Linked DNA regions of Macaca fascicularis. The protein of the gene in region 2 binds, or shares a complex with, the protein of the main gene of each other region. Links are inferred from orthologs where the notes say so. Each region holds a gene or a part of one and is shown on either strand. Other genes may lie near its edges. The genes, in order: PTHLH and KPNB1.

Region 1 (3,913 bases), on a different chromosome or scaffold from region 2:
TTTACAGTAATCAACTGAGGAAGACAGGAGTTTCTAAGAAAAGATGCCCCCCACCCAACCTAAGCAGCAAACTTTAACTGCTAGCTAGCTGCAGCGACCCAGTGGGGAGCCCCGATGAGCGAGGGTCTCGGTGAGAGGCCACTGTTTCTCCCACCCTGGGTAAAATATGTGGAGCATCACCTGGAAGGCCAGGCTTGATAAAGGCCACACTCCTTGAATCATCTCAAGTCTCTAAATCACACTAGCCTTCTAGAAACTAATGAACCCTACCAGCAGGATTGCCTAGAAGACAAATATCCCTTGAATGGTTCCCAGTCACTCGCGCTCTTTTCACAAAGTTAGAGGAGCCCTGGGGCGGGTATCCACTCCCGCTGCAATCCTTTCCTAGATGATACTACCCAGTCATTCCGAGCAGTCTTTCTTCCCCGCCCATTAGCTTTGGAAAGAACCTCTGCTTTCCCGTCGCTTCTCCCAAGCAGAGCAGCACACAACCATAGTTCCGCTGCGTCTGTCCGCTGGCTGCAGTGACTTGGATACAATCTTCCTAGAATCTGTAATCAGGCACTTTTGAGGGGGAGGGGACAACCGGGTAGAGTATCAGAGAAAGGATGGGTTAGACTCCTGACCAGGGGGGAAAAGGGCCGTGTGCGTGCCCCAGGAGTGTCGGTGCCCCTCTGCAATTCAAAAGGGGGATCTCTCCCGTGCGCGGGTTTTTTTGGACCGGCTCCAGATGTCTACCAGCAGTTCTGAAACAGCAAAAAGTGCAATTTAGATCTGAAGTCTGGAACCGTTTTTGCTCTCTTCTAAGCAAAAGATCTCCCTCTCTCTAGCCGATGCTCCCCACTCAGTTCATCCCGGGAATGAGCCAGGGAAGAAGGTTCTCATCCATCGCCCCGAGCTGCCAGGCGAGCTTCGGGCTCCTTAAATTCACAGGCCAACAGCCCGCGTCCTCTCCGCGCAGGCTCCCGGGCGCCCGTGGTCCCCGGCCCCGCTCCTTGGCCTCCTCCTCGTCGGTCCGCCCCTGGTGGTCTTGGCGCCCGCTGGTCCAGCCCGGCGCGCCGGGAACCGCCAGCTGCCCGGGGCCGTCCGCACGCCCTCGGGGATCTCGGCTCCGGGATCCGGCGCGCCGGCAGGAGCCGGCCGGGCCTGGAGGGAGCAAGCGGATCCGCCCACGCCCCCGGCCCGGGGATGGCGCGACAGGGCCCAAGCTCCGGGGTGGGGCTCGGTAGAGCTCCGGACAGCTCCGGGGGCGGCGGCGCGGGAGGGGGGAGCTCCGCCGCTCGCCGTTCATTCCCTGCTCGGGGCTCCCCTCCACTCGCTCGGGCGGCGCGGGGCCCGTTCGGGCCGCCCGTCGCCGCCCCCGCCCCCCGCGCGCCCGCCCGCGCCCTCGCTCGCCCCGCGCGCGTTCCTAGGGCGCCACCTCTTTGCGACTCTCTCACTTCTCCGGCAGGTTTGCCTCGGAGCGTGTGAACATTCCTCCGCTCGGCTTTCAACTCGCCTCCAACCTGCGCCGCCCGACCGGCATGTCTCCCCTCCCGTGAAGCGGGGCTGCCGCCGCCCTGCCGCTCCGGCTGCCGCTAACGACCCGCCCTCGCCGCCACCTGGCCCTCCTGATCGACGACACACGCTCTTGAAACTTGTTCTCAGGGTGTGTGGAATCAACTTTCCGGAAGCAACCAGCCCACCAGAGGAGGTAGACAGACAGCTATGTATATATATGTGGGTTTCGCTACAAGTGGCTCTGGAACCAAAGGGCCTGGTTCTCAAAGAAGCTGACTTCAGAGGGGGAAACTTTCTTCTTTTAGGAGGCGGTTAGCCCTGTTCCACGAACCCAGGAGAACTGCTGGCCAGATTAATTAGCCATTGCTATGGGAGACGTGTAAACACATTACTTATCATTGATGCATATATAAAACCATTTCATTTTCGCTATTTCAGAGGAAGCGCCTCTGATTTGTTTCTTTTTTCCCTTTTTGCTCTTTCTGGCTGTGTGGTTTGGAGAAAGCACAGTTGGAGTAGCCGGTTGCTAAATAAGTAAGTGCTGAGAGGCTCCAGATAATTTTTTTTTTCCTTTTCAACTTGGGAGATGCCCTTGATGTTGAAGAGGCTTTTTGAGACCGGGCTATAAAGGGAAAGCGGAGTAGTGCGGGGAGATGAAGAGTCCAGACTGACACTCGGGTCCCTCTCCCTTCTGTTGCAGGTCCCGAGCGCGAGCGGAGACGATGCAGCGGAGACTGGTTCAGCAGTGGAGCGTCGCGGTGTTCCTGCTGAGCTACGCGGTGCCCTCCTGCGGGCGCTCGGTGGAGGGGCTCAGCCGCCGCCTGTAAGTGCCCCATCCTCCCCAAGGCGCCGGGTTGGGGAGGCCAGGGGGAGGGGCTGCCAAGCTGGGACGCTGCCGAGGGCTTGCAGCGGTCACCGATGCTCCTCGCCCGGGTTAGGGAGAGGGACCATCCCGGATACCTGCCACGGCCTGAGTCCGGGTCCTCAAACCCGGCGGGAGGACTGGTTGATCTTCAAGGGGAGACAGGCAAGAGACAGATTTTATGTGTGTTTCCATAAGAGGGAGCGTTTCACAGAATCTCTTCTAGGCAGAGATCCTCTGCCTCTAGTGAGAGAAAAAAAAAAAAAGGTGGGGGGTGGTTGTTACTGTCAGGACCCAGGAAGCTTCTGAAACTCCGAGGAAGCTGAGCGGTCCTGGGGACGTATGGTCTGCGCGCTTGTATACGTACTGAATGTGGGTGGCGGTTTGCGTGTGAAAAAGCAAAAGCCGTACATCTAATTTTATTATGAATGACATAATTTTAAGCATATAAAATAGGACCATATTACATAATGAAAGCATATTATATAATAAAGTAGTAACAACTTTGCAGTGGCAAGACTCCAATGTTAGTATTGATACAGTTCAGGAACGCTAGAGTGCTTGGTTCCAAAATGAATTTTAGGTGTGGAAACTTTTTTTTTCTTGGAGTTATTGCTAACAGTTCTTTAATTCGGAGTCAAATATTTGCATTGTAGACTGAAAACTTGTATTTTGGCATTCTCACTTGGTGATTCTTTTAATGATAACTTCGACTTTGAAATAATCATACATCCAAGCACACCAGAGAAATATCACTATGTCGTGTGACTGAAAACTTGGAAGAGTGATAGAGTAACATGATCTTAATAATCTGTTGGACCTAGCAGTTCACTAATGTGTGTAACACCATATTTGGGTGATCTTTAAACTGCAGACTCAGTGTTCAGAATGGGAAGATTATAAAGTTCGAGAACTAAGAAGAAGAGTTTGACTCTGGAGAAGGAATTAAGGCAAATTTTTACACTAACAATAAAAATAGCAGCATCTAATATTTACAGTCAGGTTTATGGTGCCTCCTTGTAAATTCCCGAGGATGTACAAAAAGGCAACTGTTTTATACGTGCTCGTGGTCTATTATTATTAGAGAAGAAAATCCTTAAATGAAAATACTTGAGACATGTCTGAACCTTGGCATCAAAATGAAAATCTATTATGAATCTCCTAAGGCAAATTGTGTAGAACATTATACCGAAGATAAAGCTGCATTGTATTCTTCAGATCAACTTTTTACCGATGTATTTCTGAAAATTGTGTTCAGACTTTTTGCTCATTTTGAGACTTGTGTTAAATTCTATAATTTAAAATTCATATATAAATAGAAATGACTGAATTTTTAAAAGCATACTTAAATACTATATTTATTTGGTTAAGAAATACTACCTTGGAACAGAGCCAATTTTTTCTTTAAGGTTGCTTAAGAATACCTATCTTCTCTTTTGAGAAACAGCAAATGAGCCATGATTATGTACACAACTATGGCATAAAAATACTGCTAAGTTGTCCTAAAGGCTATTTTTAACTCTTTCTTTGTTGCACCTTACAAAACACACA
Region 2 (3,813 bases):
GGCCCCCTGAGCACACCAGCAAGTTTTATGCCAAGGGAGCACTACAGTATCTGGTTCCAATCCTCACACAGACACTAACGAAACAGGTGAGTTACCTTCCAAATATAGGTAGGTAAGCTGTGAAACCTTACTAAGAGTAAACTGTTTGCTGTGGAACAGTTTCCATGGAAGGAACTTGGCAACCCATCAACTATTTGATGTTCTGTTGTTGATGGCTCAGGAACAGCTAAGCTGGATCTAGAAGATCCCCTAGGCTCTGACTTCTTTGTGAAGGAGAACTAGGTCTTAACATCTCAGATGCATCTTGCTCAGGAGTGAGCCACATGCTGCTCTGATTTCCTGAGTGCTCCATTGTCCAAACTCTTAGAAGAGAGGTGCTCTATCAACGCTTCAGTGAAGCAAGGTTGGGAGCAAAGATATGCTGGTTTTAGGCCACTTGCCTATCTGTTCTAATGTCTAGGATACTTTTGTGAGTTCACAGGGTATATGCTTTTAAAATGCTAAAGAAGTTGGATATGAGTTATTCAGATCCTAATGAAGGACCCCAACCCAAGAAAGAAACCCTTCTACTAATCCTTTAAGATGATTAACTTGAATTATTAAGATTCAGACTGAAAGTGAAGTGACAAGACTTCATAAAGATTGGGGTCTAATGAGTAAATATAGAAGTTCTTTTATGAGGACCGTGTCCTGGTTGCTTTTGTTCTCCCGACTTTATGCAACACAGTGTTTCTTGATACGGTGTTTGGGAAGGTTCTTTTGGTGCATGTGAAGTTATTACCAAAGAGCTGCTAGTACTCTGAGGAAACAATGCTGGTAACTGAGCACTGCATCATTTCTTTGTACACAGGAATGTAATTGTTTTTAGGGATGTGTATGATTCTCAATATAGTAGTTTCAAAAGCTAAGTAGGGATGTGTTTGGATTAAAATGAACTGGATGTTCCCTTACATTTTAACCTCTCCTTTCAGGTTTTTTGTTTTTGTTTTTTTTTCTTTTGTTTTGAGACGGAGTCATACTCTGTCGCCCAGGCTGGAGTGCAATGGCATGATCTCGGCTCACTGCACCCTCTGCCTCCCGGGTTCAAGCAGTGTTCCACCTCAGCCTCCCAAGTAGCTGGAAATACAGGTGCGCACCATCACAACCAGCTAATTTTTGTATTTTCAGTAGAAGTGGGGTTTTGCCATGTTGGCCAGGCTGGTCTCGAACTCCTGACCTCAGGTGATCCGCCCGCCTCAGCCTCCCAAAGTGCTGGGATTACAGGCATGAGCCACTGCGCCTCGCCTATTGTTGCTATTTTTATCTTTTGACTTTGTGTCTTGTCTTTTGTGTGTGTGTGTGTGTGTGTGTGTATATATATTTTATATTTATTTGTTTGTTTATTTCTTAGACGGAGTCTCACTCTGTCGCCAGGCTGGAGTGCAGTGGTGCGACCTCGGCTCACTGCAACCTCTGCTTCCTGGGTTCAAGCGATTCTCCTGCCTCAGCCTCCTGAGTAGCTGGGACTACAGGCATGCACCACTACGCCCAGCTAATTTTTGTATTTTTAGTAGAGATGGGGTTTCACCATGTTGACCAGGATGATCTCGATCTCTTGACCTTGTGATCCGCCCACCTTGGCCTCCCAAAGTGCTGGGATTACAGGTGTGAGCCACCACACCCGGCCTACTTTCTTATATTTTTACTGTGCTTTTCCTCTTTGAGAACAAATTATTCTTTGTGTGATTTTCTGAAACTGCGTAGGCAACCTGCCTTAAGTTACTATGTGGTGTGAATGGCCACAATTAGGAAGCTATACCTTGGATTTTAACTTAAGAGGAGATATTAGTGGAATCTTTTCTTTTTTGAACTTTTGTGTTTTTGTTTTTTGTCTTTTTGGGGGGATGGGGGGTACAGAGTCTCACTCTGTCATCCAGGCTGGAGTGTGGTGGGGCAGTCTTGGCTCACTACAACCTTCATCTCCCAGGTTCATGTGATTATCTTGCCTCAGCCTCTCGAGTAGCTGGGATTAACAGGCATGTGCCACTATACCCAGCTAATCTTTGTATTTTTAGTAGAGGCCAGGTTTCACCATGTTGACCAGGCTGGTCTCGAAGTCCTGACCTCAAGTGATCTGCCTGCCTTGGCCTCCTAAAGTGCTGGGATTACAGGCATGAGCCACTGCGCCTTGCCTCTTTTTTGAACTTTTGATTGAATCATGTCTTCTTTCCAGTCATGAAACTCCCTCACTTTCCTGGTCTGTTATTCCATAAGTTAATTTTTGTTGATTTTGGACGTTATTTATTCTTTTTATTTATTTATTTTTTCTAAGACAGTCTCACTCTGTTACACAGGCTGGAGTACAGTGGTGTAATCTCGGCTCACTGCAACCTCCGCCTTCCAGGTTTAAGCAATTTTCCTGCCTTGGCTTCCTGAGTAGCTGGGACTACAGGAACGTGCCACCACACCTGGCTAAGTTTGGTATTTTTAGTAGAGACGGGGTTTCACCACCTTGACCAGGCTGGTCTCAAACTCCTGACCTCAGGTGATCCACCTGTCTTAGCTTCCCAAAGTACTGAGATTACAGGCGTGAGCCACCGTGCCTGGCCAATTTTGTACTTTATATAACTGGAATCATACAGCATACACTCTAGTTCTGCATTTTGTTCTAAATGTTTGGGATTCATTCTTTTTGGATGTAGTTGAAATTTTTTCATTCTTGTTGTTTAGTACTAAATGGAATCTTCTTGCTTCTGAATCTTGTTTAACAAAGACTATGCTGTGAGGAATGTTTGTGGAAGAGATAAAATATAAAGGTCTTATATTTTATTTCCCTGAAGTTTAAGTTCTAAAGACATTCAAGTAGTCAGAGGACCTTTAGAGTTAAAATGATTCTTTGGACAAAATCTTAACTAGTGCCATATTCTTTCACCAGGACGAAAATGATGATGACGATGACTGGAACCCCTGTAAAGCAGCAGGGGTGTGCCTCATGCTTCTGGCCACCTGCTGTGAAGATGACATTGTCCCACATGTCCTCCCGTTCATTAAAGAACACATCAAGAACCCAGATTGGCGGTACCGGGATGCAGCAGTGATGGCTTTTGGTTGTATCTTGGAAGGACCAGAGCCCAGTCAGCTCAAACCACTAGTTATACAGGTGAAGCTGAGGGATTTTTGGAGTAGAAAGTAGAATATTTATTGTTTAAACTTAAAGCATATCTTTATTTTTCAAAACAAAACTGTAAATTGTCATCTACAAAGATTATTTATAGATACCTATTTACTTTTAATGAGAGTAAAATATATTTCTTAGGTTTCTAATTAGTCAGCATGATCCAGAGACTTTTGAAAAAAGCCAAAAGAGAAGTCACCTTTAATTTCATTGCCCAGAAATAACCGCTCTTAACTCTGTATTTATCCTTGAAGCTTTTTCCTGTGTAAATGTGTGTGCAACAGGCGCTTTCTGTGCAGATTGTTTTATAACTTGTTTCTTCATTTAATACTATGTTGTAAACATTTCCCGATAATTTTTTTTTGCACCTAGCACTGATTCCCCATAATTTTAAATAATGGCATTATTATTCTATTCTTTGGACAAAATGGCCTTTATATAATGAAAATGTTCTTGTGGAAATGTTGTGCTTGTTTTTTTATTAAAAATCGTGCCATTGCACTCCAGCCTGGGCAACAAGAGTGAAACTCCATCTCAAAAAAAAGAAAAGGAGTTTGTTATACTTGAGTTTAGTGCTTAAAGAATTCAGTCTTTGTGGATATAGCCAGATGCCATCGTAGCTGCATCCTGGGAATTCTGAGTATCTGAGTAATTTTTTT

What was found.
Region 1: the proteins of KPNB1 (region 2) and PTHLH are in contact, whole or in part, in a crystal structure (PDB 1M5N), measured with the Homo sapiens proteins. The link is inferred for Macaca fascicularis from reciprocal best matches to the Homo sapiens genes KPNB1 and PTHLH. Residues at the interface, in NP_002256.2 of Homo sapiens: Val55, Tyr104, Pro106, Gln111, Glu152, Tyr156, Gln159, Asn196, Leu199, Asn200, Gln239, Glu274, Gln278, Glu281, Asp288, Ile295, Ser298, Glu299, Asp339, Asp340, Trp342, Val350, Met353, Glu395, Trp430, Arg434, Glu437, Asn469, Trp472; in NP_945316.1 of Homo sapiens: Tyr103, Thr105, Gln106, Glu107, Thr108, Asn109, Lys110, Val111, Glu112, Thr113, Tyr114, Lys120, Thr121, Pro122, Gly123, Lys124, Lys125, Lys126, Lys127, Lys129.

What each region holds. Positions count from the first base shown.
Region 1 is NC_088385.1:30,724,400-30,728,312, reverse strand, and holds the start of PTHLH (parathyroid hormone-related protein), read left to right. Parts: upstream 1-1,437; 5' UTR 1,438-1,693; intron 1,694-1,741; exon of another isoform or gene 1,742-2,034; intron 2,035-2,200; 5' UTR 2,201-2,222; coding exon 2,223-2,323; intron 2,324-3,913. UniProt on the Homo sapiens protein: Neuroendocrine peptide which is a critical regulator of cellular and organ growth, development, migration, differentiation and survival and of epithelial calcium ion transport.
Region 2 is NC_088390.1:59,070,937-59,074,749, reverse strand, and holds part of KPNB1 (importin subunit beta-1), read left to right. Parts: coding exon 1-86; intron 87-2,914; coding exon 2,915-3,139; intron 3,140-3,813.